Linked DNA regions of Canis lupus familiaris. The main gene of each other region encodes a partner of the protein of the gene in region 4 in a complex. Links are inferred from orthologs where the notes say so. Each region holds a gene or a part of one and is shown on either strand. Other genes may lie near its edges. The genes, in order: STX18, BNIP1, BET1L and VAMP7.

The links.
Region 1: VAMP7 (region 4) and STX18 share a complex: the UniProt entries of both Homo sapiens proteins name them as parts of the SNARE complex. The link is inferred for Canis lupus familiaris from reciprocal best matches to the Homo sapiens genes VAMP7 and STX18.
Region 2: VAMP7 (region 4) and BNIP1 share a complex: the UniProt entries of both Homo sapiens proteins name them as parts of the SNARE complex. The link is inferred for Canis lupus familiaris from reciprocal best matches to the Homo sapiens genes VAMP7 and BNIP1.
Region 3: VAMP7 (region 4) and BET1L share a complex: the UniProt entries of both Homo sapiens proteins name them as parts of the SNARE complex. The link is inferred for Canis lupus familiaris from reciprocal best matches to the Homo sapiens genes VAMP7 and BET1L.

The regions. Positions count from the first base shown.
Region 1 is NC_049224.1:70,408,918-70,415,495, reverse strand, and holds part of STX18 (syntaxin-18), read left to right. Parts: intron 1-2,030; coding exon 2,031-2,089; intron 2,090-3,453; coding exon 3,454-3,523; intron 3,524-4,103; exon of another isoform or gene 4,104-4,320; intron 4,321-5,095; coding exon 5,096-5,176; intron 5,177-5,952; coding exon 5,953-6,048; 3' UTR 6,049-6,476; coding exon of another isoform or gene 6,477-6,477; 3' UTR 6,478-6,578. UniProt on the Homo sapiens protein: Syntaxin that may be involved in targeting and fusion of Golgi-derived retrograde transport vesicles with the ER.
Region 2 is NC_049225.1:40,184,819-40,192,541, forward strand, and holds the start of BNIP1 (vesicle transport protein SEC20), read right to left. Parts: upstream 5,194-7,723; 5' UTR 5,125-5,193; coding exon 5,041-5,124; intron 2,575-5,040; coding exon 2,482-2,574; intron 1-2,481. UniProt on the Homo sapiens protein: As part of a SNARE complex may be involved in endoplasmic reticulum membranes fusion and be required for the maintenance of endoplasmic reticulum organization. Also plays a role in apoptosis.
Region 3 is NC_049239.1:25,709,782-25,717,732, forward strand, and holds BET1L (BET1-like protein), read right to left. Parts: upstream 4,350-7,951; 5' UTR 4,262-4,349; coding exon 4,243-4,261; intron 3,683-4,242; coding exon 3,591-3,682; intron 3,388-3,590; coding exon 3,331-3,387; intron 3,210-3,330; coding exon 3,042-3,209; 3' UTR 927-3,041; downstream 1-926. Other genes in the region: RIC8A (synembryn-A), read left to right, coding at 5,543-5,626, 5,839-5,886, 5,972-6,559, 7,002-7,093, 7,616-7,766. UniProt on the Homo sapiens protein: Vesicle SNARE required for targeting and fusion of retrograde transport vesicles with the Golgi complex. Required for the integrity of the Golgi complex.
Region 4 is NC_049260.1:124,838,020-124,845,680, forward strand, and holds the start of VAMP7 (vesicle-associated membrane protein 7), read left to right. Parts: upstream 1-2,956; 5' UTR 2,957-2,971; coding exon 2,972-3,207; intron 3,208-4,636; exon of another isoform or gene 4,637-4,707; coding exon of another isoform or gene 4,708-4,710; intron 4,711-7,661. UniProt on the Homo sapiens protein: Involved in the targeting and/or fusion of transport vesicles to their target membrane during transport of proteins from the early endosome to the lysosome. Required for heterotypic fusion of late endosomes with lysosomes and homotypic lysosomal fusion.

The DNA.
Region 1 (6,578 bases), on a different chromosome or scaffold from region 4:
GCAAGGCAGCCCACCGCCAGGGATTGGGGCGGCCCTGTAGAGCGCTTCCCCAGCACTTCTGCCCTTCTGGAAGATGGGCCAGCCCGCCCATTTTCTGGCCCAGTGTATCTGGGGTGGAGTGGAGGCATCTGTGTGTTTGGACAAGCATTAGGGCTGGGAACTGGTACCCTGTAGTGTGTCAGGCCCTGCCCTATGCTGGGAGGCCAGAGGAAAAAGCCCCACCCCAGGAGGGAAGATGCATAAACAGGGGCGAGAAATGTAGCAAACCCCAAGTACAGAGGAACTTTTTAAAGAGAGGAGATGATGGGAGGTGATTAAATCTGCATGATGTGTCTGGTCACTAGGAAGGTCCATAGGCCAGGTTTTGAGGTTACCAGCTGGGGGACTCCCTCAGCTCTCAGCCTCTGCAGAGGTAGGGTGGCAGGCCACAGGAAGGGGCCACCCCTCTGTGCTGATCTGCAGGCCATGGGGCAGGGCTGGTGTGGTGCGATGTGACATGACTGGCATCTTAGATACTGTGACTGAGGCATGGAGGACAGACTGGAGAAGACTGCAGGATTATGAGGGCAGAGCGTAGGTGCCAGGGAAGGAATGGGTGCAGCAAGGGTGCAGGGGAACTGGTGGACGGGACAGAGGGCACCCACATGGAGGGGCTGGAGGGACATGAACGGAGGACCATTAAGAGGCCCTGCCCAGAGAAAGTGACCCTCCCAGTGTTTCCAGTGAGTAGAAGTGAGCAAGGCACAAGGGGAGGACAGAGAAGCACAGGGAGAAGCTTGGGCAGGTGCAGAGCTGAGTGAGCACAGCTCTTTCACTCCCCACGAAGTGGGAGCCAGACAGGGCAGCAGGGAGACTGAGGGTCCCTGCATGTGACATGCTGAGCACGGCCTCGGTGACCTTTGTGACTTCCATAAACATTATCTCTTCCCTCTGTTTTACCAAGCAAGTGGTAGCCAGAGCTTCAGTCGAATGGCAAAGCCTCCAGAGAGCCAAAGCTTGCTTCCATTTGTTCCTCACACAGCACCTGGCACAGATGGTGCCTCAAATGTATCTGTGGCCATGGCTGCAGCTCTAACAAATGCGAAAGGAAGAGTGTGGTTGGTGCCTTTTCAGAGTCGAGTTTGACTTGGTTCCCACCCTTGGGCAGCTCATAGTCACCCAGAGAGTTTGGGACATGCACAGCTTATTACCAGGCCTAAAATGGCTCACAGCCTAAGAGATGTTCAGAAGGTGCTAGGCCAAGGTTAGAAAAATGAGAAACAGCATCAAGCTTGGGGACCCGGGATACATTGTGGAGAAGATATTTGCGCCAGGTCTGTGGGATGTGGCTGAGGAGCTAGAGGACCCTGCCCAGAGGCTGATTGTGCATTCAGGGAGTTGAGTGGGCATGTGAAGGCTGAGTGCTTGGTCCTTAAGGTGAGGGGGAGGAGATCTTCTGGCCCCATACCAAGGCGAAGCTTCAGACACACCATCCTTTTTTTGGCCAGAGTCAAATTGGCAGGAATGGTGGGAACAGCAGCTGTCTGCTCCACAGTCAACTTGGCTCTGATGAGCTCCCGGGTGTCAGGGTGGTATCCTTACCCACATCGAGTCCTGTAGCCTGAGCGCCAGGAATGGGGCTCCTCTGGCTTCTGGGCCTGTGTTTCTCTCACAGTGCATTGGCTAGAGCATGGCTCTGAAATCACACTGCCCTGCTCTCACCTTAGCTGCTGGACCTCACAGTTCCACTTAAAACAGATGGTCCCAGTGGCAGACAGCACAGCCCTGTGGGCGCCAGAGGAGAGCAGGGAGGGCGGGGGGATGACAGGTAACCTTGCACCTCCTCGGCTCACCTTCGCAGGCATCATGTTGGCTTGCAGACAGGAAGAAATCCAGCCATGGGGATGTCATGCTGACGCTGGAAGGAGGGACTCTAGTGATTCTCAGAGGGCAGATCAAAGATTTCTGTGCAGACGCCTTGCCTAGACACTTGCCTTTGGCTGTGTTGGTTTGAGTATGACATCACCCTTCATGTGTTTGTTTCCTCACAGTTTGAACAAGAAAACCAGCGCCTAATTGGTGAAATGAACAGCCTGTTTGATGAAGTAAGGTAGGTATGTGGTTTCTCTAGGCTTGATGGCCTATGTTATAGCTTTTCCAGAAACTGAGAACTTTATTAATTTACTTTGGTGCCCCAATATACCCTTGTGGCCCTGGCCACATGCATGCCTCCCTGGAGCCATTTCGGGGTCAAGGGAGCTGCCACCCCTACTGACTCCCCTTAATTTGTGGGTAGTCCCCATCTATGTGCTGCTGCCAGGCTCCCAGTGACTACAGATTGTACCAGGTACTGAGCATCACCAGGTGGGGGCTGTTTGCACTTCATCACTTCAAGGTGAGATAGGGGGGCCTTTCGAAGAATGACTAGCCAGGGGCAGCCTCCTGCACTTGGCTCTGCCAGAGTCAGCCTGCTCCCTCAGCAAAAGGTTGGCAGCACCAAAGGCTAGTGGCTATGCTCACCCATTTGAACCATCACCAGCTGGTCCTATTGGGGAAGGACTTGGGGCCTGTTTCCTGAGAATGTCTGGGGCATCTGCACAGAAGGCCCAGGCTTTTGCAGGGCATTGAAACTGCTGCATTATAGGCTCATCCCAAAAGCAAGCACATCCTGGCACTGTACCTACACAGTCCCAAGGACTCCGAGTGCAGATACTTCCCTCTGACAGCACCTGTACTCTTCTGGGGGCCTCCTAGTCCTTGCCCCCACTGCCTCACTCTTCCCTCCTCAGGCCTAGAAGCCCTGGGGGGAATGGCAGCCTCCTGCCCTTACACTGCGGACCTCCTCGGCTGGGAGCTCAGCCCCTGCAGCCTCCATCTCTAGGGCCCTACTCTAGCCCCCAGACCACCACTGGGGGCCCCTGGCTGCCCCTGAAACAGGGAGAAGCTCAGACACTTGGTTGCTGAACCCAGATAGATATATTTTGCAGACGGATCTAGCCAGAGTTTTTCCTTTCCACAGGAAGTTGGTTAGAATGGCAATTATGCTTGCCCTCAGCCTACTGAGCAGTAACAAAGTTGAGTTGTCAGCACATTCTGGTGTTTTCTTTGGAATCCCCACCTCGTTACTATGGTTATGAGGCTGGTATAGGCCTTCTAGAAGACTCTCTTTTGTCACCAAGGGCACGGACTCCCAAGGCAGGGGCACTCAGGTCAGCTTACAGGGGAGAGCAGGCTTCTACACCGCCGTACACCCCCATAATCTGAGAGACTTTGAAGGAGAGCTGGAAAGTAAAATGCCTGTTTCCTCCTTCCCTGAGCTGGACGTGGTGCCTCCTCCCTCTCTCTTGGATGACATGATGTCCCTCTCTCCTCCAGAGGCTTTCTCACTTAGTTGATCCCTTTAGAAATGTTAACGTTCTTGTTAGGACTAAGTACTAATGGTTGTATGTAACCTTTTTTTTTTTTTTAATGAAGGCAAATAGAAGGGAGAGTGGTTGAAATTTCCAGGCTCCAAGAGATATTCACAGAGAAGGTTTTACAGCAGGTAAGAAAGAAAAAAAATCACTGTTGAAAGTTTTAGCTTAAAAGAATATACTGTGAAGTCCAGATACTTCTGAGGCTGCCTGTCTCTGCAGCCGTGCATGCAGAGCTTTGTGCTTTGGGCCAGTGCACACTCACACGGCTCCTCAGGTGAGGGCCTCTTGCCTCTGTGTTGGCGAGCACTCTGCAGCCAGACGGCGTGGCCACCCCAGGTGTGCAGTGGAGCGCTCAGAGGGGGGAGTCAGGTGGATCTCTGTTCTGGAGGCCCTCAGGTCACCAGGGTAGCCTCTGAGCTATGGTTTGCCTGTCTATAAAACGGAGTGGCCCTTGCAGGGCTGTTTTAAGGCCCAGAGATAACCCACAGGGAGCACCCAACACAATGCCTGCAGGATAGTAGCCCAGACTCGGCTGGCCCTCTGAAAGCCAGGTCCGTGCCACCTTGGGTGTCATGTCCACACAGGAAACAGGATTGTTCTCACAAGTGGATTTTCACGTTACTCATACTTGCCTCCACATCTAAAATTCTTCCAGTCAGCTACTGGCAAAACTTTTAGAGACCGATAAATTTGTCCTTTTGTTTTTAGGATCCACAGACCATGGAAGGGTTTCAAAGACAAAATCATTTTGCTCCATCGTGTTAAACTGGGGTAGTTGACTTAAGATACCCCCCCCTCACAAAACCTGTCCTAAGGCTCACAGCCAGGGTTGAATCGTACATCAGGTACATGAAACCTCACAGTGTGGAAGTTCAGGTTCAGAAGAATTGTCCCTCTTTAATTGCGCACTGAAGGAACTAGGCAGGTATGTGCTGAGCCTTCACATCCCCCTCCTGACACCTCAAACAGCCACGTCAGCTGTCTGTTAGAGCAAGCAGACTTGTTTCTGGAGGCAGCACGGCACGGGAGGGGAGCTCATGGCTCTGATCCAGACTTCCGAAGTGTGTCCTGTGACCTGGGGTGCCCTGAGCCCTGCCGCCCTTCACAGAATGGGGCGGGTGTCCCCTGCCTTGCTGTCATTGCTGGTGGAAGAGGCACTGGACACGCTCCTGGCTCATGGGAGGCTCTCAGTACATGGGAGGTCATGTTTATACATTTTAGCCCTTTACTTTCTTAGGTTACACATAAAATGGTGAAACACAAAGCACTTTTCTGAAGCTAGGGTATGTTTTAAAGCACATGCATTTAAAAGCTTACCTCTCGAACCTAATACAGGAGAGACCAGAGGGAAGGGCCCTGGCCTGTGGCGGCTACTATGTAACGGGCAGCTCTTGTGCTCGTCCCTTCCTGTCCAGCAAGTGGCACAGAAGGTGACACCTGGGGTGGCAGCGGCACAGGTACTGGGTTCCAGTCCTAGTCCTGCCACATGGTTGCTGTGTGACTTCGGGGTGAAGTCTCTGAACCCTGTTTCCCTTTTGCAAAATGAGGATGCGGCCTACCCCTCAGGGCACCGTAAGGATTCATGGGCTCATGTTTATAAAGTCCTGGCCCTTTGTAAGGGGCAGCTGCTAGCTTCTGAGGTCTGTGTGCTTGGGGAAAGGAGATAGTGGTTGGGTCCACCTGTTACTCTTCTTCCACAGGAGGCCGAGATCGACAGCATTCACCAGTTAGTTGTAGGGGCAACTGAGAATATCAAGGAAGGTAATGAAGACATCAGAGAGGTGAGTACTCTCGGGTCCCCCAGGCCGTGGCTATGTGGCAATGAGTCCAGGCAGTAGGGGTGGTCTTGCTGGCAGGGCTGCAGGAGAGCCATGCTGGGGCCCAATCCCCAGGGCTCACCTCCTGACTGTGCTGGACAGTCCTGTTCTGTCCCCAACAAACCCTGGGCACCCGCTGTTACCAAGAGATGTGACTCACCCTCCTCCAAAGGAGCCATCTGAGACACGTGAGGTTACTCTTGGCAAAGGCTGCACCAGCTCCCTAAATCCGTGGATGGGCGCCACTGGAGAAGCTTGTTGAACACCCCCTGCCCCAACCCTAAGGGCCAGGGCCTTGGTTTACTGGGGCCACCACAGCGGACTCTTGAGTGTCCTCGGTCTTCTGAGTGCAGTCCCCGGGTTTGGGTTGATGGGAGGCCACTACTGCCATGTACTGTGGGGAGCCAGCAGCTGGGCCAGCTATGGTACTCGAGGTCGGCGTGTGTGGTTTTAACCCCAGGATGCACATGGGCAGTTGCTGGGTGTTTCCTGGGAGAAATATGCAGGAAGTATGTCTAAGGGCCAGCCAGTAAGGGAAATAAATACCTGTTTGTTTTCTGATGGATTCTAAACCCATGGTTTTGTCTAATTCCGGTAGCACTGACTCTAGCAATACCCTGTTAAAGCCCAGTGCAGGGCGAGTGCCCGCAGACAGGTGGAGCATTTGAGGGCTTTTGAAACCAAAATCCTGTGTGATGCAAATCCCTGTGCTACTGCCCTCCTTCTCCCCCCTCCCCCAGGCCATTAAAAACAACGCTGGCTTCCGAGTGTGGGTCCTCTTCTTCCTGGTGATGTGCTCCTTCTCCTTGCTCTTCCTGGACTGGTATGACAGCTAGTCCACTCTGGCTGTTCCCGGCAGGCGGCGCGCTGTTGTGGGCTCCGGCATCAGAGCAGGGCTGTGAGCCGATTTATCACAGAGCCATTCGGGGGGAGGGGGCTGTGACAGATGTATACTCTCACAAAAGGGACACCCAGACCTGTGGTTTTAAGCCCATGTAGTAGCTGAGAAAGAAAATAATGAACACAAAATGACCTGTGTAGCAATCCTGATGCAAGGTGGGTGAGTTGGTGGGGGGTGGGGATTGTTACTGGCTGCACCTAAATTGGAGACCAATGTGGAAGGGCTGACCAGAGGCCAGGCTCTGGGAGGCTCCAGCCCTGCCCTTCTGGTGGCTTCGGGAGAAGCACTGGTTAATAACTTCTCACAACAGATGATCATTTCTTTGTTTCCTGTGACTTCTCATCTGCCTGGGCCATGTGACAGAATCACTATGTTATAGAAAACGCACCTGTGCCCTGTTGACCTAATAAATGCAACTATAGCTGCTTCATGTCCTATCGGCGGGTCCGAGTGTAGTTCAGTGGA
Region 2 (7,723 bases), on a different chromosome or scaffold from region 4:
AATGGACATAAGCTCAGCAGTGTGAGACCCCTGAGAACTTCAGATGATGCAAGTATCAGATTGACTCTAATTAAAGATGTCATTATACCTCAAGAATCAAGTCGTATTTTTTGTTTGCAGATTAAAACAATTTCCAGTTTCAATCAAGCTGCTGATGCTAAAACAATGTATTAGTTCACTTACATACTAATTTATTTATTTATATACTCATTTATATATTAATTTGCACATGCTGGTCAGGAACATGTGTCTGTATCCACCATTTCAGCAGCTCAGAGATGACTTCCAATTAATGGCCCCAGATATTCTGAGACAGAGAGAAAAAAAACATGAAGGAAAAATTTTGCAAATGTAGTCAGTTTATTACTTGCTTAAGTATTCATTTAAAATCTAGATTCCTTGCCAGATTGTGAACTCCAGGAAAGTAGGATTTTACACCTAATGTTCACTATACATATTCTTTGTGCCTAGAACATTATTAGGCACCAAACCTATTGAACAGAAGAATGGATGTATGGTTAGAAGGGAGGGAGGAAGGAAAGAAAGAAGAAAGGTATATAGTTTCCTCATAAAAGGTTGCCTAGAAATTCTGTCATAGAGACCCAGATAGTTCCAGAAGAAAAGAAAGGGGTAAAATAGTTCTCAAATTCCAGTTGGAGCACCACATACGCAAAGACATTTACACAGGTATTTATACATAGTCAATGCCCAACATTTACAATGCAGAGATTATATACTAAGGATATGAGGCCAAGTCTCTGAGTACCACACAATCTCGTTGCAAATACACAAAGAAGTCATTCACGTAAAGAGCTAAAAACATCAAAAAGAAATCTTGTATACATTTCCTAGTATAAATGTTAAGGAAATGCAGATTAAAACTGGGATGGGGTTATTCATTCACTAATCATGTGTTTTTAGGTCCTTAATTGGTGTCAGGGATATTCTGGTGCTCAAGGAGGTGATGATGGGAGAGAGGGACCTAATATGTAAATGTATCAGTGGAGTAATTTCAATTAGTGAAGGAAATAAACACCGAGTCAGCACCTAGATACTTAAACAAAAAGAACATGGAAATACTTAAGGTGGTGGGTGTGGTTGGAGAGTTGAAGTCATGTGAGTTGAAGAAAGACCTTTTAGGGAATACATTAGCTTCAAAAAGCAAAGCAAAAAAAAAAAAAAAAACAAATCAAAAAGCAGAGAAGCAATCCAAATAAAATGCCCTTTGACACAGAACTGGCTAAAAAATAAATTATGGCTATAAAAAAAGAATGAGGAAACTCTCTAATACTGAAATGGGAGCAGCCCAGGTGGCTCAGCAGTTTAGCACCACCTTCAGCCCAGGGCCTGATCCTGGAGTCCCGGGATCAAGTCCCACATCGGGCTCCCTGCATGGAGCCTGCTTCTCTCTCTGCCTGTGTCTCTACCTTTCTCCCTGTGTCTCTCATGAATAAATAAATAAAATCTTAAAAAGAAATACTGATATGGAAGCATTTCCAATAGATATTAAGTTTTAAAAAGTGGTGTTTTGTGTGCTACCTTTTAGATGAGAAATTGGAAATAGGAAAATATATTTATTTTTTCTATTATCTGAGTACATATACCACAGAAAGATACGTAAGTAACAAGTAACAAAGGTGGTTACTTGTGTGGAGGAGGGAAACAGAATAAGACTGGTACATGAGACTTTTCACCGTGCGCCCATATTTACACACATAGATATGATAAATACGTAATATATAAAAGTAACAGCCTTTCAAAAAAATTAAATGATTAAATCAGTGCTAGAGATGGAGGCAAAAAGATCAGCTAGGTTCAGTGATATTGCTAAAATTCTAAAGTGAACTTTTATGACAAGAACTGCTTATTTTCACAATTGTCCTTGAAAATCTCTTAGAAAGGCAACACATGGGACCCAGACATACTACTTCTCAGGGAGTCCAAATGGCCAGTTTTTCTTCCAGCTTTGAAACAGACCATCTTCTGTTAAGCAACAAAAAGGGCTGTTGGTTGGCATCTGGTCTTTAAATCCTAGTATCATAAGCAGTTGAGATGGGGTGCCCCAGGACCCACCCAGTGATGGGCAGATCCATGCACCCATCTCATTCTCACTAGGGCACAGCAGCAGAAACAGGCTATACAAATGGGTACTTCTCACTCCAGTGGTTTTTGAGATAGCACCTATACCATAGTTGGATTCAGGAGTGTTTATATGTGCATATGAAGTGACTAGAGACCTCAGAAACAGGTAGGAAGAGACTAGGCAAAGCATAACATGAAAAAAAAAAAAACCCAGGAGACACTGGTGATACATTCAAAAGTTCCTCACTTTTATCTTGAGAGCATGTTAGTACAGTTACCCTCACTGTCAAAACATTTACTAAAGAACCTGGACAGCTAGCTCTCAAGCAGAGGTTACTCCCAGGATAGAGCCTCCTCATTGTCACCCATTCTCCCCATCTCAGTTCTACAGCTACTCACCTGTATTCTGTGCCGCAACTGCTGAAACTTCTCTTTCACTTTAGTATTTAGTTCAGTAAGTGCACTTAATGGTCCTGAACAATCTCGAATATCCTAGGAGACAGTGAAGAGGTGAAGGGGCCTTTCTTGAGGCAAATGACATGAAATGAAACCACCTGTACAGGGGGAGTTGGCTTGAACCACCACTAGGCTGGCCTACTGTCTGTAATTCATCCTGATCTTTGCTGTTTACCTCTGCAACACGAGCAAAAACATTATCGTTTACATTTCTCTCATAACCTCTTTAATTTTGAGCAGGTACTATAATAGCATAAAAAGAAACACAACTGTCCTATTAGTTCCTAAAGTTTAACAAAATGCCACCTAGTCAGTATAAAAGGCTTAAAGCAGATCATATGTCCAACAAGAATGGACATCCAAAAGTGATACAACTTGAAAATCAGGATGCTCAATTCCTGGCATCATATGGCAAGGTTAACTTCGATCATCTATTACAAATCACAGTGTTTACAGACCTGTTCAAGGGTAGATTTAGAATTTGTTTCTGCGCCGGGACACCTGCACCCCGATGTTTATAGCAGCAATGGCCACGATAGCCAAACTGTGGAAGGAGCCTCGGTGTCCAACGAAAGATGAATGGATAAACAAGATGTGGTTTATGTATACAATGGAATATTACTCAGCTATTAGAAATGACAAATACCCACCATTTGCTTCAACGTGGATGGAACTGGAGGGTATCATGCTGAGTGAAGTAAGCCAGTCGGAGAAGGACAAACATTATATGTTCTCATTCATTTGGGGAATATAAATAATAGTGAAAGGGAATATAAGGGAAGGGGGAAGAAATGTGTGGGAAATATCAGAAAGGGAGACAGAACGTAAAGACTGCTAACTCTGGGAAACGAACTAGGGGTGTTGGAAGGGGAGGAGGGCGGGGGGTGGGAGTGAATGGGTGACGGGCACTGGGGGTTATTCTGTATGTTAGTAAATTGAACACCAATAAAAAATAAAAAAATAAAAAAATAAAAAGAATTTGTTTCTGGACATTCAAAATTACTGGGGTCAGATTTTAGAGCAGGCTCTAGAGCCAAAATATGTAGATGCAAACTCCAGCTGCAGCAATTTATTGGCTGGATAACAAAAAGTCACTCTGGTTCTCTGTGCCTCACTTTTCTCATCACATTACCTACCACATAGACCAGGTACGTATGCAAAGTATGTTGCAAAGGAGCTGGAACACAGTAAGAGCACAGTATATCTAGGTATATCATGAGAACCCCAATATCAGAGAGTACAGAAGGGCTTAAGCAATTTAGATTATGTGAAAAGGCAATCTTTTTATATGAATCCTAAATTTATTTTCTTAAAGTCAGCCCAGAAGTTTTGCAATATGTATGAATAAGTGTAGTTGAAGAAGTTTAACAGTTTGCATCAAGTTTTCTCATCTGTTTTCTGGCTTACTCATTAAATCACACTTCCTTGTACCACGATAAAGCACTACTTTGGTTTATTCTGCATCTGGTCTCCATGGAGAGTCCTACTTTCCTTCGCTTTTTGCCACAGCTAGTTGCAAAATCTGAGTCTACATCTAATGCTTAGCAACATTTTTGGAAACGGAGGAAATAACTTGCCTAAAGCCAAAGTTTAGGGGATCCCTGGGTGGCTCAGCGATTTAGCGCCTGCCTTGGGCCCAGGGAGACCCAGGCTCGAGTCCCGCGTCGGGCTCCCTGCATGGAGCCTGCTTCTCCCTCTGCCTGTGTCTCTGCCTCTCTCTCTCTCTGTCATGAATAAATAAATAAAACCTTAAAAAAAATAAAACTACTAATAAAGAGTTTAAAACTCTTGGTTTCTTTTTGCTAAATTCAAGGAACCATTTCTACTTTCCTCTTGCCTAGGCCAAGCAGTTATTGCTCTGCTGCCTTCTACCCTTAAGTGGCTCAAGGCAAGGAGTGTCCGGTACCCCATCTGTTAAACCGAGTTTCAGAGACCCCCTAAGTCCCTCGTCTAGGCCGACTTTCCCTGTCCGGTCGCAGTCTTGCCACCACCTGCCTTCTGATTCAGGCCTTGGCATTTTAGCCTTTTTCCTCATTTACAAAGTCGCAGCTACTATCTAGGTGGCCGGGGGCCTCCCGCACGACGGGGCCCTTGGTGCCCTGGGGCACCTCCGCCGGGGCGGCGGCCAGGGGAGGGCGGGGCTCGCGGCCCTCGGGGCGCCACCGAGCGCGGCGGAGGGAGGCGTGAGAAGGCGGGGCCCGTCGGGGCGACAGGTCGTCCCAGTCGACAAGTGTGCGGGGGCGACCCATGTGGCCACAGACCGGAAGCCTGGCCAGGGACGAGGGGACGCGGGAGCGTTCAGAGGAGGGCAAGACAACAGCGCGCGGAGGGAGGATCAACGCCAACGGCCCAGGAGACGGGACCAGAGGGGGCCGCCAGGGGGTAGCGGGCCGTGGGGCGGGACCAGCGACCTCCCAGACTTGAGACCGCCGAGCTCACAGGAGGCCGGTGGAGCCTGGGTTCAGGGCTACAGGGCCCGGCAGCCGTCCCGGGAATTAGTACCTGGATAAGCGCCTTCACCTCCAGGTCGAACTTGACGATCTCTTGGTTACAGATACGGACGTGGACATCTTGGGGAGCCGCCATGTTGAGGACGCCGGCTACGGGCCGCGGCGGGGCCCAAATTAAACTCGTTTTTGCGTCACCTTCGTTCCGCGTCGGGGCTTTCGGCAGCGCCCTCTAGGGACCAACCTGAGGCGAGCGAGGGTCGAGGCGAGGAGGCCGGAGGACTCGCCTCTGGTGTGGTGGTGGAAGGGAGGTGGGCGGGGGGGGACTGGGCAACACTGCTGGGGGGCACTGGATGGGATGAGCACTGGGTGGTACGCTAGATGTTGGCAAATTGAACTCCAATAAAAATAAATTAAAAAAAAAGAAAAGAAAAGAAGAAGAAGAGAGGGAGTATCGAGAGCGTTTTAACATTGGCCTCTCCCCATCTTTTACCTAAAAGGCATTCTAATGACTACATGTTTTTTGCAGAAGAGAGAGAGAGAGAAAAAAAAAAAGGAAAGTATCAATTGGGATGTCTCTGGAAGGTGGAATTAACAATTTTTTATATCTCTTTAAATTTCCTTATATTTTTCATATGTTGTACAGTGAATATAATTGTGGAGCAAATGAAAAGATGGTAAATGTTATTACTGCTTTTCACGTGTGGAATTCAAGACAGGCCTCTTCCAGCACATGGTCCAAGGGTTCTAAAATCACAACTGATCAAGTCACTTCCCCACCTCCACCTCTTTTGTAGCTCCTGGCACGTGCCTTTTGTGTACAGTTGGATTTATTAAAGCCTACCTTGCTGGAGTAGTTTTGATGGAAATAATTAAGAGCAGACCCTCAACGAACAGTGGCTCCTGCCTTTATTATCAAATAGTCCAAGGCCATCAGCCACCTCACTCCATCGCTCTCCTGGATTCCTCAAGCTGTTTTTGGATCTGTAGCTTTGGAATGTGCTGTTCCCTTTTCTTAGAATGCTTTCCCCCTCTTGCTCCCACCCCATGTGCTTCTGTTCACATCAGCAAGCATAAATTGTTAAGACCTGAATGCCTAGCTGTGTTTTTCTCTTAATCCTTCAACCAGACTTGAAATAGGTAATACCCCAGTTTTACAGATCAGTAGATGGACCAAGAGTAGATCAAAGCGAAATAAATCAAAACTGAACGTCCCTGCCCCAAAGTTACATAACTTGAAAGTGGCAGAGCCTTCACTAAAAGCCACGTCTTCCCTCAAAAACCAAATATGGCCCCTTGGGTATAGTGTCGTACACAGGGGGCTATGTGCTTGCCTATCTGTGTTTCTCCACTGCTCCACACACCATCCGTTAAGGCGTTCATCACCCCACTGCACCTAATAGGCAATGTATTGCAGGCCTTAGAGTCAACCCTGCTTGAATCCTGCTGGAGGACCCACTTCACAGCTCTGCCCCTCAGAATTCTGAGGCTAACTGGTAGAGTCACAGAGGTGGAGGATTAAATGAGGTAGTACATGAAAAGCACCAAGCACAGTGTAGTCATGTGGCATGTGTTTAAGAACTCAATGTGCATTAGCTGCTATGACATTACTGACATTTTTTGGAGCACTTCCTATGTGCCAGGCACTTTGTACTAAGTTCTTAATGTGTGTCATCTAATTTAACTCTCATAACAACCCTATGAGGTAGAATTATCCATTTTATACATGAAGAAATAGGCACAGGATGATTTGCGCAGTGCAAAATGGAAGTGCTAGTCAAAGGATATGTGCATTTTATTTTTTTTTAAAGATTTTATTTATTAATGAGAGACACAGGCAGAGGGAGAAGCAGGCTCCATGCAGGGAGCCCGACGTGGGACTCGATCCCGGGACTCCAGGATCATGCCCTGGGCCTGAAGGCAGGCACCAAACCGCTGAGCCACCCAGGGATTCCCGGATATGTGCATTTTATTATTATTATTTTTTGATTTGTGCATTTAAAATTTAGAATTACCAAATTGCACTTCAGAGAGTTTATATCAATTTACACTCCCACAACAATGTGCTACAAATGCCTGCTTTCCCACGGCCTTGCCAACATGGTGTGTTAAATACTAGGATTTTTGCCAATTTTTAAAAAACTTTTATTTTTGTGTGAGAGAGTGCACATGAGCAGGGGGAGGAGCAGAGGGAGAAGCCAACTCCCCGCTGAGCAGGGAGCCCTATCCTGGGCACAATCCCAGGACCCTAAGATCATGACCTGAGCCAATGCTTAACTGACTGAGCCACTCAGGTGCCCCTTTGCCAATTTGACTGAGTAAAAAATACCATTCTTTAATTCACTTTTCTCTTACATGAATGAAATTGAGTGCTATTTGTATTTACTTTGCTCATTTCTCTGTCAGGTGGTTGTTCTTTTTCATACCAGTTTCCAGGAGCTCTTTATATTTCAGGAGGATTAGCCTTTAGAGATGAGCTTTTTATGTAGTCTATAGAATTTGACTTGGCTTATGATGGTTTTGGCCTTAAATAAGTTTTTGAATTTTTTGTTTCACATAGAATTTATCAGTCTTCAATTATGACTCCTGGATTTAGGATCCAAGTTAGAAAGGCCTCCTCACCCCCACCCCACAGGTTTTAAATGAATTGCTCCCATTTCTGTCATTTGTTCATTTACACATTTTGAGATATATATATATTGGCTTATGGTATGAGATACAGAGCCAACGTTCCTTTC
Region 3 (7,951 bases), on a different chromosome or scaffold from region 4:
AGCATCCGTCCCCTTCCACATGGTCATCTCCCTGCGTGAGACTCACCCTGGAATCTGGACGAGAACCTGGGGCCACCCTCGGGAAAGCGATACTGCGTGGCCTCTGAGACCAGGCCATACAGCATACAGGTGGACCAGCTCCTCTGTGCAGCTAGACAGCCCCCTCCTCTGCTCACTCCAGCACCAGCCACCGTGGTGTGAGCATGACACTCAGCAAGGCCACGCAGGCGTCAACCAGCAGGCTCAAGAGCATGGGTTTAGGTGACAGCAGCCGAAGGCTCAGGTCTGACGGCCGAGGCCTAAAGTTCTAGACAGACGCGGTCCCCACACTGTGCTCAAATTCCAACCACATTAATCCTAAAATGTAAATTACTTTAATTGTGACTACATCTAAAGTGATCTGTCACACAACAAAGGCAACACGGGGAGCTCGAGGATGTGGGCCAGGAAAGGGCCTCCCAAGTGAGGCCAAGGACTGGTGTTCCTAGAGGCTGCAGGGAGTCCGAGGCCAGGCCTTTGAGGAGTGGAGTGTGGATCTCACCTCATTTCCAGAGAGAGGGTGCCGTGCAGACTGCAGGGGGGGAGGGGAGGCCCCACTGTTGTCCCCATGAGCCCATCAGCCATAGCCATATGGAGCTCAGTACAGCCACTGACCTGGGACCATGTGAGGCTATATTCTGAGCACCTCACATTTACTCATTTACCCCTGGGGGGTGATTACAGAAACCTGGCTGACACAGTAGCAAGCCTGTGACCGCCCACCTGTGTGTGTTGGGGGCGGGGGGCACACGAGGAAGGGACACAGCAGAACCAGAGACAGAGGGAAGCGGGGGCGCAGACCACCAGTATCCACGGCCAGCCTGCCGTCCGGGATCAGCGCCAGATGAAACGGTCAAGCGCCCAAGAAAATGAGAACAGCAAGACTGTTTACTTCATCACGAAGCTGTTTATTCCAAATGTGTATTAAGTGCCTTGTCCTTGAATGATGAGATAGAGCCTGGCAGTGTGTCCTCACTTGGCACGGGCTGAGCCCCCGGTCCTTGTCGTTTTAGGGGTCTCAGGGACCGTCAGTAAACCGTGTGTAAACCTGGACGGTGTGGTCTCAGGCAGGACAAAAGCTCCGGCAGGTCAGCAGCAGAGCTGCCACGCCCCCTTCCTGGGATCCATCCCAATGCGAGAATGAGAAACAAGACGGTGAATCAGAAATGAACTGAAACTCAGACCCCAAATAGCTGGAAGGGCCACACAGAGCTGTGGAGTGGAGGTGGGGAGGCAGGACAGTGTGCAGCCGTGGGCTGTCTCGAGGGGACAGCAGAAAGCACTTGTCAAGACTACCCGAAACACAAAACCTAAACCAGCCCACATCGACCCCGTAGTCTGGTGTGTCTCTCACAGCTGAGGCATGTTCTCAGGGAGAGGTCAGCAGCACAGGCCCAGGGAGGGGGGGGGGACGCAGGCCACGGGTGCACCTGCCGTGTGGCCAGATGGACACTGCAGGCTCCATTAACCTTGGTGACCAGCGGACGTGTCCCGGTGGCAAGACAAGACGTAGCAGGAGACCACCAGAGAGCTAACTCAGATCCACGGTGTGTACGTGGCGACTGCGGAGGAAAGACCACAGGGCCCGAGAGGGAACGTCGAGTCAGGGACACAGCAAAGCTCCACAGGCAGGGAGGCCAGCTGACCTCCCTGGATGAGCAACTAGCATCTGGAGGCTAAGGGCACTCAGAAGATGAGGCCGAGCAGCCCAATAGCTGCTGTGCAGGAGATAAGGAAGCTATGATGACCACGTGCCAAACTTGCTGCAGGGACAAGGGCAAGAGAGGGGAGGGAGGCAAGGAGAACACAGAGCAGCGGCAGTGCTGAAGGGGAGGCGCCCAGGGCCAGAGAACGGAGCTGATGTGTGGTCGGCGCACGTGTGATCACCCACGGGATGAGGGGGGGAATGGGCGGACAGCAAACCAAGTTGTCCTCTGGGAGGAAGGGGGAGCGACTGGGCTGGCAGAGGATCGGAATATAGGGGAAGGAACCGGGGAGGACACAGCTAGCAAATCATTTCTTATGTGTCTTCATGCACATACGAGGGTGCGGACGCCCAGCTGGGCCTGCACTTTGTGGTTTGTGTGAACATGGGGCTGGCCAAGCGGGCAGTGAGGGCTCAAAGAGAGGCCAGGGATGAGGCAATGATGAAGAGTCCCCTTATTCAGGGAATACTCACTGCTGAAAGGCCTCACATGGTGGAGGGGAAGCTGCCCGGTGACCCCTGGGTCTTATAAAACTTGTTAGGGAGCCCTCTCGTCTTGACCACAGAGGTGCTGCACCCCCACCCCAAACACACAGACAGAAACCCTTCTAGAGCTCCCATCTCTGGTCTCCCAGAAATACGTCTTTGGTGTTAGGTAGATCCTGAGTTCCTGCTCCTGAATACAAGACTGTGGATCCAGAAGGATCAGGGCCCAGTGCCTCTGGCCAAGGTTGAAGTCCACTTCTTCATCCACAACCCCCTGCCCTTCTCCGAGGGTCTGGGGGGCAGACGTGACCTCGGGGCGGAACCCCTGGCGCAGACCTGCCCATGTTCAGCAGCCCTACCGAGTAGCTGCTCCTCTGAACAGAGCAGATGGTGCTCAAAGTTCATAACCGAACCCCCTTCCTGTGTCAGCTCCAGGCTGCTCACGTATCGGACGTGACCTTACCCAAAGCCTCAAGACGTCGAAGCCCCAGGGGACAAGGAAGGGCTGCTGGCCACAGGTGGCCACGTCGAGGATTCACACCCAGCTCTGCCAGGGCCTCCACACCCCGAGTAGCACAGGGGCTGGGGCTTGGTGTCCCCAAGGGAAGGAGCTGCACTGCATGGGACCAGCCAACAGGAGCTCACTTGGGCGCAGGCAGCCGTCAACTCCCAGGCACACAGCAAGAAAACTCCCAGGCCGGGATCCCCCTTTCAAAGGAGTATTTTGCAGGTAGGTCCTCAGGAGCCTAGGCCACCAGGCGGGGGAAGACCCTGGTTGCCCCTGCACCCACAGAAGTCGGCTTCTGGTGGCTCACGTCCTTGCCCTTGACAGAAGGTAGGAGAGGATGAAGAAGACCACGATCAGGCCCAGGGCCATGCCACACAGAAGCTTCCGGTTGTCTCGCCCGGACCTCGCCATGGTGGAAAAGCGCTTCACGCTCCCCGTGAGCAGGCCTGTCATGCTAGTGAAATCCGAGTCCTGAGGGAGGAATCCCAGCAAGGTCACACAGGGCGGCGCCTCCACGACTGCCACGCAGGTGCCGCAGCGCCACCAGGGCCTGCCCGAGCGGCCCGCGCCCCGCGCCGACGGAGCCCCTTACCATGCTGTCCAGGTACCGGTTCTGGTCTTCTGCGTCCCTGTCGATGTCCAGGGCCAGCTGCTCAGAACGCGGGGCGGGGGGCAAGGTCAGGCCAGAAAGACTCGGTGGGTCCCGCCCGCGAGGCCAGCGGACCCGCCAACACCCGCCGGCGGGATCAGGCCGGGCCTCCCCGGGCCTCAGACACCAGCGCCCCGAGGAAGCCCGGGACCCTCCCCAGCCTCTGCCCTCCTGTCCCCGCTCGCAGGGAGGACCGCACTGACCGACTTAAGCCTGGTGACCTTGGAGGCCAAGCTGTCGGCCATCCGCTTGTTCTCCCGGTCTAGAATCTCCTCCACGGCCGCGGGGCTCTGGGCTGCGAGAAGGGACAGTCTGAGCCTAGGACCGCAGGCGCGGAGGCCCCGGTGAGGGGGGCCGCGGCCCCTGCTCGGCCCCCGCGCTGCCCCGGGGCTCCCTCCGTCCTGCGGACAAGCCAGGGGCCGCGGCCGGGGCCGGGGCGCGAGCGCGGACAGCCCGCGGAGGACGGCGCCCGGGGGTGGGCCCGCGCTGGGAGGCAGTCACCCGGCGGGGCCGCTCGGAGCAGCACTGGCGCGGGCGCGGCGGCCCCGCAGGTCGGCCGGCAGCCAAGGCTGAGCAGCGCAGGCCCGAGGCCCCCGCACCCCGCGCGGCCCGGGGCGACCCCGACCGTCGGCCACCGCCCGGGCTCGGGGCGCGGACGTGCGGCGGGCCGGACGCCCCGATGGCGGGCCCGGGTGCGCACGAAGGCCGAGGCGGGCTGTCAGCGTCCCGCCGCCCGCCCTCGGCTCCTGCCGCCCCTCCCGGGGAGACCAGGGGCTCTGGGGCACGCGAGGGGCCCGCCCGCCGGAGGCCCCGGGCGGAGCAGCCGCGGCCCCCCGACCCCAACCCGCCGCTCACCCCGCGCCCAGTCCGCCATGGCGCCCGCCCCCGGCCCCGTCCCCGGCCCCGCCCCGCCAGCGGCCCAGCCACCGCCTCAGCGGACGTGGCGCAACCGGGGAGGACCGGGACCCCGCCGCTTCCGCTCTGCCCGCCGACTTCCGGCCGACGTCCGGCCGACTTCCGGACTAGGGGGGCGGGCCTTAAGTGCCGAGGACGCGTGACAGACGCCGCCAGCGGCCAATGGCGCGGAGGGCGGGGCCGGGTCCCGCTCCGGGCGTCCCCGCTTTCCCCCGCGGGCCTGGCTGCTGGGGTCGCCGCGGGTCCCCGCCCCAGGCGTTGCCGAGGGGACGCGGTGGAGGCCAGGGCCTGGAAGACGCAAGGGTGACGCACTCCGAAGGGAAGCGAAGCCAGACGGGGGCCGGGAGTGTGGGGGCAGCAGAGGCCGTAGCGGCCGGTGCCTCTTGCCTTGGTCCCGGCGCCGCGGGAACGGAGGCGGCCCACAAAGGCTGGCTGCACGGCGGGCACCGCTGCGACCACACACACGGGAGAGGGAGCTCAGTCCAGGCCACACACCTGGGACGTGGCTGCCGGTGATCCTGACCCTCCCCGCCCTCCCCTGGAGCTCAGGGACATGTTTGCGTCCCCGCCGCGGCCACCGAACGACCTTCCCCCGGATCCCTTCTTATCGTCCGGCCTCAGCAGAAATGCTACTTCCGCACATCCCTTTGCAGCCCACTTTATTCGCCACAGCGCTGAGACCGCTGCCCGTGGCTCCTTGCCCTCACGTGCGAGCTCACGCTCCCAGAGGGCCGGGAACCAGCGGTCGGCGGGTCCCGGGGCCGCAAAGTCCTTCCCACTTCGCTTTTCCCCCGGACTTGCACTGGTGCTAGGCATCTAGGGGGGCGTGCGTGGGAAGGTGAGTGGGTCCCCGTTAGCTTCGGAGGCCGCTCAGCTCCGAGGTCGAAAAATCACCTAGTAGGACCTTTGAAACTCGCGCTCACTCCCCGGCAAAACACTCAAGTCCCAGCCAGCTGATCCAGGTCTCGCCCCCTTAATGAACCTACAGCCCTGGCCCCGCCCCGCGGCGCGCGCTCCCAGTCCCGGCATGCCGCGCGCGCAGCCCTGGCCCCGCCCCGCGCGCTCCCAGTCCCGGCCTGCCCCGCGCGCAGCCCTGGCCCCGCCCCGCCCCGCCCCGCCCCGCGCGCTCCCAGTCCCGGCCTGCCCCGCGCGCCCAGTCGGGGCGGAGCGGCGGAACTCCGCCCGGAGCCGGGAAGCAGCTCCCCTTCCCGCCGGCTCGGCGCGGGATCCCGGAGGCGCCATGGATCCCCGGGTGGTTGCGGATGCCGTGGAAGCGGGCGAGGAGGACGTGATCATGGAGGCTCTGCGCACGTACAACCGGGAGGTGAGCGCGAGCCGTGAACGTGCTTGCACGGAAGAGGTGGGCCGGGCGGGGCTCGCGTGTGCGGACCCGGGCCTGCGGGCTGCGGGCGGCGGGCGGCGGGCGGCGCGCGGCGGAGGGGCCGGGGTCTGCGCGCACCTTGGGGGACGGGGAGAGGCGGGGGGGGTGCGGGCGCCCGCGGCGGCCGAGCCCGCTGAGCCTCCCCGTCTCTGCAGAACTCCCAGAGCTTCACGTTTGACGACGCCCAGCAGGAGGACCGGAAGGTGGGTGCGGACCGAGGGCAGGGGGCGGGGGCGCGTGGCCCCGGGGTAGGGGGCCTGCTGGAGCCGCTCTTCTTCCCGCCCACAGAGGCTGGCGGAGCTGCTGGTCTCGGTCCTGGAGCAGGGCTTGCCACCCCCCCGCCGCGTCACCTGGCTGCAGAGCATCCGCATCCTGTCCAGGGACCGAAGCTGCCTGGACCCTTTCACCAGCCGCCAGAGCCTGCAGGCCCTTGCCTGCTATGCCGGCATCGCCTTGGAGGGGTCTGGCCCGGAGCCTCTGGACATGGACGTTGTCCTCGAGTCCCTGAAGTGCCTGTGCAACCTCGTGCTGAGCAGCCCGGTGGCACAGGTGCTGGCAGCAGAGGCCCGCCTGGTGGTGAGGCTCGCAGAGCGCGTGGGGCTGTATCGCAAGAGTAGCTTTCCACACGACATCCAGTTCTTTGATCTGCGCCTCCTCTTCTTGCTCACGGCACTTCGCACTGACGTTAGGCAGCAGCTGTTTCAGGAATTGCGGGGAGTGCACCTGCTGACTGATGCGCTGGAGCTGACCCTGGGAATGAGCCCTGACGAGAACCCCCCGGAGCTTCTTCCTCCCCAGGAGACCGAGCGGGCCATGGAGATCCTCAAAGTGCTCTTCAATATCACCTTCGACTCCATCAAGAGGGAGGTAGACGAGGTGAGGACTGACTTGAGCCCACAGGTAGGGCTTAACGGTGTGGACACTTGCTGGCTCTGTTTGCCTATAGCGAACTCGTAGGTTCCAGGTATCAGACGGGGAGAGGACGGGAAGAGCTCTCAGCCTATTGGGAGGAGGCAGGGAGCTGTACATCATGTACAGGGGCCTTCAGAGACTGTCTGAGAAAGGCAGAGGGCATACCTGGCACTTGCAGCCTGGTAGGAGGGCTGTTTGGTACATGGAGAGGTCACGAGCAGGACACTAGAGTAGGTTGTGATTTTTATCCCAGGAAGACCTGGTAATGGTCTTGGTTAAGGAAATGCTTTCAAGGCTACGTGGGGGAGGACGAGGGGTTGGGCACACAGTAGAGAAAATGCATAGTCCGTGCATGTGATCCCAGAGTGGGGCCTCCTCTCACAGGAACCCCTTTCTTTTTGGTCAGGAAGATGCGGCCCTTTATCGGCACCTGGGGACCATTCTGCGGCACTGTGTGATGGTCGCTGCTGCTGGAGACCGCACAGAGGAGTTCCACGGGTGAGGGTGGGGCCCGTTCAATGGAAGGGAAGTGTGCTCAGGGGTCTAGACAGTAGTTCTCACCCTGGCTGTCGGCTAGGCTTCCCCCTGGAGAGGCTTCACCTACAGGGGTGGGATTTCCATCAGTGTGTGTCTATGGTAAGGGGCTAGGACAAGAGAAACGAATCCAAGAACGGTATCTGTGTCTGCAGTGGAGTTAGTAGTAACCAACCACGTGGTAGTTAGCGAGTAACTGCTGAGTTCTGTTTCGGCGACTTGTGCCTGGGCAGGTTCTGGCGCTCCAGAGATTGTCCGCGGGGCTTCAACCCAGACGGAGCGTGCCCCCTTTCTTAGGAACTCACCCCACCGACTATGTGGGAACATCTCTAGGGTCAGTCTCACCCTCAGTACCGGCCCCTGGTTCTGGTCATCAAATCCCTAGATGCTAGTTCAAGTCACATGCGGCCTCTTTAGGGGGCAGCAAGGCTTGTACTTATGCTGGGGGGTCGGACCTATCAAGCCCTCCTCCTGATCTGTCCTCAGCCACACAGTGAATCTCCTGGGGAACTTGCCCCTCAAGTGTCTGGACGTCCTCCTTACCCTGGAGCCACACAAAGGCTCCCTGGAGTTCCTGGGAGCGAACATGGATGTGATTCACGTCCTTCTCAGCTTCCTGGAGAAGCGTCTGCACCAGGTGGGCAGAGGGACCTGACCTGTGGGGTCCTCAGTGGCTCTGACTTTCCCAAGCAGCCTTGATCACTGCTTTTTTTACGGTCACACTGGTAAGCAGAGTGTGATTCAGGCCATTTCTCCAGCTGCTTCGTGGTCCAGTTTGGCAGAAAACCAGATTCTACCTCCCTCAGAAACACGTGGCCCCTC
Region 4 (7,661 bases):
AGCACAGACATATTACTTTGGGAGAGAACATGGAGTAAGAAGAGAGGCTTTGATAGAGCCCTAAAATCTCTAAATTGAGGGAACATTTAGAGTTCACAGAGCTCTTAACTCAGGACTGATTCCAAAATTCTTTCTAAGATACTATTCCTTCTCACAAAGAAGAGGTAATGAATAAAATAAATACTAATATGAATAATAAACCCTTGCGGAAGGTGGATAAATCTGAAAAAAGAAACATATATTTTTATGTAAAATGAAGACATGATATTTGGGATAGATATTGACTAATAAGTAAGATTTATACAGGAGAGGTAGCATGTGCAACGATGCAGAGACGTGAAAGAGCATGGTACTGAAGTGCGAGCTCCATATAGGCAAGGACAATGTCTGTCATGTTCACTCCAGGATGTATGATAGGCCAGGCTCATAGTAGGCACTTAATACATAATAGTGGAAGGGATGGATGGATGGACGGATGAGTGAATGCCACCATAGAGAAGCAGGCTTGAGCAGAGAGTGTGTCATTGAGAGAGGCAGAATATAAAGCAGGAGAGGTAGAGATAGGCCAGACTATGGAAGGCCATGGATTTTCTATTAAGATCTTAGACTTTATCCTCTATATAATGGGGAGCCAAGGAAGGGTTTAAGCAGGATTTCAAAGTGATCAGATTTTGTCTTAGAAAGAACAATCTCAAGTGACAAGAAGGGGTGGGTGGGGAGATGGTGAAGGAGATACTACAGGTACAGTACAGGTACAGAGACATTATTCGTGATTTGTAGTGCCCTGATCATTTTAGTCATGATTCTCTTAATGTACTTCGAGTTGTCTGTAGCCCCCTCAGAGCCGATAACAATAACTAAGGTATGGTATGTCCTGCAGATACTGGATTAGAACCATGTGTATAGTGCCTCACGACCTTGTCATGCTTGGAGAAACAAAGAGGAATGGAGTAGAGGTAATTTGTACAAAGTATCTCACCATTTTTAAAAAGATTTCATTTATTCATGAGAGACACACACACAGAGAGAGGCAGAGACACAGCAGAGGGAGAAGCAGGCTCCCTGCGAGGATCCCGATGCAAGACTCCATCCCAGGGTCTCCAGGATCACGCCCTGAGCTGAAGGCCGACGCTCAACCAGTGAGCCATGCAGGCATCCATCTCAGCATTTCTTAATTTTCCTTTTCTTTCTCCCTGAATATAAACTAAATAAAAAAGTAAATGCTAGTTACCATTATGTAAGACCCAATGAAAGAGAGACAGTGACAAACACAATGCTTGTCTGATAAATTCTTAGCGTCCTCAAGTGCTTCCTCTCTGTCTGGCACTATTGTTCATTAATCATTGCAACAACCGTTGAAGACAGGTACTGTTATTATCCTCAATCTAAATATGAGAAAATAGAAGCTTGGCAAGTGACGTTTTTAGGAGATAGAGTTAATATGGCTTGCTGACGGTTTCAATGTGAACTCGGAGGGGGGAATCACTCAAAATGAGAGGCGACTTTTGGTGTTAGGAAGCGACTGCACGGTTGTGGTGTTCACTGAGCAGTGATTAGAGGAGGAGAAAGAACAGGCTACGGGAGAGGGGAGGGAAGAAATGTTTTAGGTCATCTGAAGGCTACATTAAGTTTTAAGTGCTTAGAAGGGGTGCCCAGCTGTCATTAGATGTTTCAGTCTGGGCTTCAGGAGTCTTTACTGGGCTTCCTGCACGTGGAACCCGCAGCATACAGATGACACCCAAATCAGTGGGAATGGTGACATCACCCAAGACACCTGTGAATAGCACCAAAGGGCATAGGGCAGAACAGTATGAATCATGAACATTTCAAAGGAAAATGAGGAGCTGCCATAGAAGCGGGAGGTGAACAGGAATGCGCGCCGGCCAGAGACGGAAGAAGAGAAGGTCCCATTAAGTGGATGTTTGCGTCCCCTCCCCCCAACTTAGACGGGGGAGTCCTGCTGCTCAATGTGAGTGTATTTGGAGGTGGTGCCTTTCCGAGGTAAGTAGGCCAGGAGGGTGGAGCCCTCCGGAGTGACACTGCTGCCCCGCCGAGAGCTGTGCAAGAGCTGAGGTCTCTCCATCCCGGGGAGATGCGGCCAGAAGGTAGCAGCCTGCAAGGGGGCCGGCGGGTTCCCGCTAGAACTCAGGCTCGCCGGCATTCCTGTCCGAAGCTTCCCAGCCTCCAGAACGGTGAGGAACTCATTTGTGTGGCTTAAGCCATCCAGTTTGTGGTATTTTGTTCCACGCTAAGAGGATTTAAAGAGGGCGGAAATAATCATGTGAAATCTTGCAGGTTTGAAGGACGGTCATTGTCGAGAAGTGTCAGTGTTTTAGCAACAGGATCGAGAATTCTGACTGGAAGAGAGAGGTGAGCAAAAGTCCACAGGTTCCGTCTGTGTGGTGACAGGTTCGAAGGCACGAAATGGAGCAAGGTGACTCCGGAATGCAGTGGGCGAGAGCAAGTCCGCCAACCTTTCAAAGCTAGTCGTCAGGAGCAAGTAAGCAGGGACCATTGGAGGAGTCACGGGACAGGATTCAGCGGTGCAGCGAGGCTCGGAGTCGGGAGGGCAAAGGGAAGCAAAGCGGACGCGCGGGGGAGCTCAGATCCGAGGAGCGGAGGCGGCGGCGGAGGCGGAGGAGAGTTATTTCTATTACTGGCAACGAATGAATGGGAGGAAGGGTTGTCGGGGTCTTCAGGCGGTCAGGGAATTCCGTAGAGAAAGCAGAAGGTTCCTGGGACACCAGCTCTATTTTGTGAAATAACAGGAGACGTTACCTGCCAAGACCCAGCACGTAGGCAGCGGGGCAGGCTTCGCTCTTCATCTGTCCCCCCGAGTCGGTGCCGGTGCACTCTTCGCGGCCCTGCATCCTTCCCTTGGCGGCAGCAACCTCGCTTGACGTCGTTTAGCACGAGTTACTGACTCTGCGGAGGACCGGGCGCTACGCCAGTTGGAACTACCACTCCCAGAATGCAGTGCGGCCACTGGGAAGTGCCGGGGCTGGGAATGCAGCAGGCCCCGCCCCACGGCCCACTTCTATTGGAGGAGCGCTCACATTCCCAGGAGGCCGCGCGCGGGCGGGGCGCTTTACGCGGAAGCCGGTGGCGTCCGGTCCCAGCCTCCTCTGGTAGCGGGCAGTCGGCCGTCCGGCTGCGACTCGCGCCCCTCGGCTCTGAGCCCACGCGCTCTCAGGGGCCGCCGGCCAGGTAAACGGAACGGGGCGCGCTGGGCAGAAGGCGGGGAGACGACGCGGAGGGGGGCGGAGGTGTGGACGAGCCGGTGCGGGGTGGAGCGAGGAGGCAGTGCAAGGGTGACTTGGGCTTCTCTGGTGTCGACGGTTCGAATTGTCGGGCAGGTTCAGTTTTGATGAACTGCGTTTCCTGCCACTGAAAAGGCCTCCAATGAAAGAGTGTCAGAATGCGTCACTTAAGTTGTTGTCACGGGTGGGGGAACGTTAACTTTCCCTCAGTTCGCGTTTTCCAACACCTTTCCTCAGCCTTTGAATCCTGAGATTCAATCTTGTGATCTAAGTCTTCTAAAAACTCGTCTCTACGCCCTTGTTTTCATGACGTCACTCCGCTTCCCTACTTCGGAGCTCCTTCGTGGGTTTGTACTCCTCCGCGTCCCTTCTCACCGCCCATTGTTTCATTCCTCTTCTTCCTCACTTCACATAGGGACTCCGTATCTCTACCCAGACCTGTTTCCGCAGCATCAGCTCTGTATGGTGCGGTTAAAATTGGCCAGCATTTAACAAGCTCTGACCATGTACTAGACTCTTTGATGAATTTTTTACATCTCCCTCCCATAACCCCCACAGATGACCAGTTGTCAGGTCCTTTTCTGTCTTATTCATTGCGCCCAACTCCCTGTACCTCCATTGTCCCACCCTTGATCCCAGAGACGTGTTTTCCCTTTAAATAGCTGTGGCTGAGAGCAGACTCACTCATATGTTTAATAGATATTTATTCAAAGGTTAATGTGTGCCAGACACTCTTCTGAGTTCAAGGGATACAGCTAGAAAGAAGATCTAGGAGATCATTACTCTGAGTAGCTTACGTGTTTGCGTATGTGTGGGCAAACAAGAATAATCCAGATGATGGGATGTGGTGGTGGTTAATGCAAAGTAGAACAGGTGGTTGACTTGACATAGGGTAGGCTCCTATCCTGAGAAAGTCCGAGCGCTTGGGTTGGGTCTCAGAACATGACCCTAAAAGAATATTTGTGACACCACCAAGAATACAACTCTGTAACCAGACTTCGGACTTTTCGTAGACATTTCTTTTCCTCTGCCATATTGATATTTTTTTCTTCATTCTTCTATCTTCAAGGTTATTACATCAGAATTGGTGGTTTATTTGTCGTTGGTTTATTTCCTCCTAAGACCCAGACAGAAGAGTTGGGGATTAGATTAGATGAAAGCAGCACAACTGCTTTATTTTACTTAAGGAGATAGTTTAGTAATGAAAATATCCTTCTTACCAGGTCCTACAGAATGTGAAGTTATCTGTTATTTAAACCAAAACATGCTCATGATTCATTCATTTATTTAACAAATATTTGAGGGAAAATTGTATGCCAGGCACTGTGCTGGGTTCTGGAAAGATAGGATAAAATAGACTTTGATCTCTCTTCCAGAGACATGATTCTAACGGTATGCTGAGGAAATTCCTAGTACATAGCCTGACACCTGCATTTTTTCTTCACCCATGGTGAGATAACCACAGATGTTTAAAAAATCTGAATAATATTATACAGTTTTAGATTATTCACTGGTTACACTTTATTGCATTTATTTCTGTCTGTCTTTCCCATTGTACTATGGCTCTCTTGAGTATGGAGGTCCTTTCTTACTGGCCTTCATATCTCCCCTGTCTACCACATTGGCTGTCATATTGTAAACCCTCAAAACATATGTGTTGAACTGAAATAGAAAAATAATTTGATCCAATCCATTAATTATTTCATTTACACAAGGCCTTCTTTTTTTTTTTTTTTGAAAATTTATTCTTTTTTTTTAAATTTTTTTTTTTATTTATTTATGATAGTCACAGAGAGAGAGAGAGAGAGAGGCAGAGACACAGGCAGAGGGAGAAGCAGGCTCCATGCACCGGGAGCCCGACGTGGGATTCGATCCCGGGTCTCCAGGATTGCGCCCTGGGCCAAAGGCAGGCACCAAACCACTGCGCCACCCAGGGATCCCCAAGGCCTTCTTTATATAAGGTCATTCACCTTTAGAGAAGGTGACCTTCTCATTCACCGAATGTGGGGCTTTCCATCTCATCAGGCTACTTTACCTTCCCTACTTGGTTGTCACTTCTGTGCCTTCTCTTGTTCCATAGCTCTCCCATAAAATGTGTTCCCATCTCTTTCCTGAGCACTTTCCATGCCCCTTTCCTATTTAATTTAATGGGCCAATTTAACAGTATAAGACTGTAAACAATCTAATTTCCATGTGTATTTCCTATGAAACATTCTGCTAATGAGCTGTTACAAGCATTAACATGATACATTCCTTTGCAATAATATAAATAATGATATGGAATGCATTCATTTGAATTTTGCATTCACTATTATACCATGTGCTACATGAGAAGTCCATTTTTCCACCTTTTTTTTGTTTGAACAGTTGCACAATCTGTGTTCATACAGCACATTATAGTATCATTTGGTTTCCACTTGGTACAGTCAGAACTTCAAGTATTATTTTTTCCTTAGCCTGAGATAATTGTTACTTTCTTTTTTTTTTTTAATTGTTACTTTCTCACTATGTCATTTTCAGAATGTCAAGTCTTAATTCTTCAAATAAAAGGTTTTATTATGCAGATATCTTTCGATTGTAAATTGTTATGGCGAAAGATAAATTTTGTATTTTTATATTAATAATAATCGCATGCAGGGAGCCTGACGTGAGACTCGATCCCGGGTCTTCAGGATCACGCCCTGGGCTGAAGGCGACCCTAAACCTCTGAGCCACCCAGGCTTCCCAGCACTGTCATCTTAGAGAATTTCTTGGCTCTTAGGTCTTCATGATGCAAATTGCAGCATGGGATTGTGTGCTATCACTCATTTATAAGATACATGTGTAGATCCAGGATATTTACATACATTTTTTAATGTTATTAAAATAAAAATACAGAATTCAAAAAAAAAAAAGAGTCCTCAACACAGAGACTCGAATGTGAGAAAAACTGACTTGGCCTTTTTCTTTACTCAGTTCCCTAAAACCATCTCACTGTCTACTTAAAGATGCCTCCACTGAAGAGTAGTGTTTGCATTGTTGCTGTGCTATTTTATTTGCAGTTTGTTTTTTTATTTTTTTATTATGATGTATTTTTTTTCTAGTGAGGGACATGGGGATTGGGGAGGAATTTTTTAAAAGATTTTTTAAATTTATTTGAGACAGAGAGAATGTGGTGGGGGTGGGGTGAGGAAAGGCAGAGGGAGAGTTTTAAACAGACTCTGCACTGAGCTTAGAACCCGACACAGGGCTCGATCTCAAGACTGGAGTCGAAACCAAGTTGGACACTTAAGCAACTATGCCATAGGTGCTCTGAGCAATTTGTTCTTTGATTTTAATACAGGCAATCCATTACTTACAAATGGGCATATTTCAAACATTCCTTTTTAAGATTTTTTTGAGGGAACGCCTGGGTGGCTCAGTGGTTGAGCATCTGCCTTCAGTTCAGGGTGTGATCCCTGGGTCCGGGGATCGAGTCCCACATTGTCTCCATCTGCCTATGTCTCTGCCTCTCTCTTTGTGTCTCATAAATAAATAATATAGGAAAAAAAAGATATTTTTGTAAGTTGATGCCTTTTTCTTTATAATAATGCTATTCAGGCATTTCAGTTATTATGCCAGTTGGTAACATCTTAACCTTTCATGGACTTAAAGACCTTCACCACAATTTAATAATTTCTCTGTAAAAAAAAATACATCTAGAATTCTCAGTTGGATTCCCCTGTAGCATATCTTTTTTCCTTTGGAATCCCAGCAACGGGAATAAAAATGTCCTTTTCTTGGAATCTTCTAGGCAAGATTCTAACTCCAAACTCTTGGAGGTTGCCCTTCGACCCATCCCTTTAAGGACAGGCCTTTAATGAGAGTAAAAAAAGAGATGGAATAAAGGTTTTGGAGAGAAGAGGGAGTCAAGTTGGCATGATGTGAATATAGAGAGAGGGAAGAGTAAGAATGCTTTGGGAGGAACAATGAATTTGTAAGATGTTTTATGCCCTCAAAAAAGATATTTTGAATCTTGACCACTGCTACCTGTGAATGTGACTTTATCTGGAAATAAGGGTCTTTGCAGGTGTAATTAAGATGGAAGTTAAAATGAGGTCATAGTGGAGTAGGTGACCTAATAAGAGAAAAGACCTAGAGCCTCCAATGTGAAGACATGGACACATATGAAGAATGCCATATGACAAGGGCGGCACAGTTTGAAGTGATGGCAGCTGAAAGTCAAGGAATGCTAGGGATTTCCAGCAGACTACCAGAAGCTAGGAAGAGATAAGAAAGGATTGTCCCCTACAGACTTCCGAGGGAGCCTGGCCCTGGCAACACCTTGATTTCAGGCTTTTAGCCTCCAGAAGTAGGAGACAATAAATTTCTGTTGTTCTAAGCCTTTGTGGTTTTTGGTACTGTGTCAAGGCAGCTACCGGA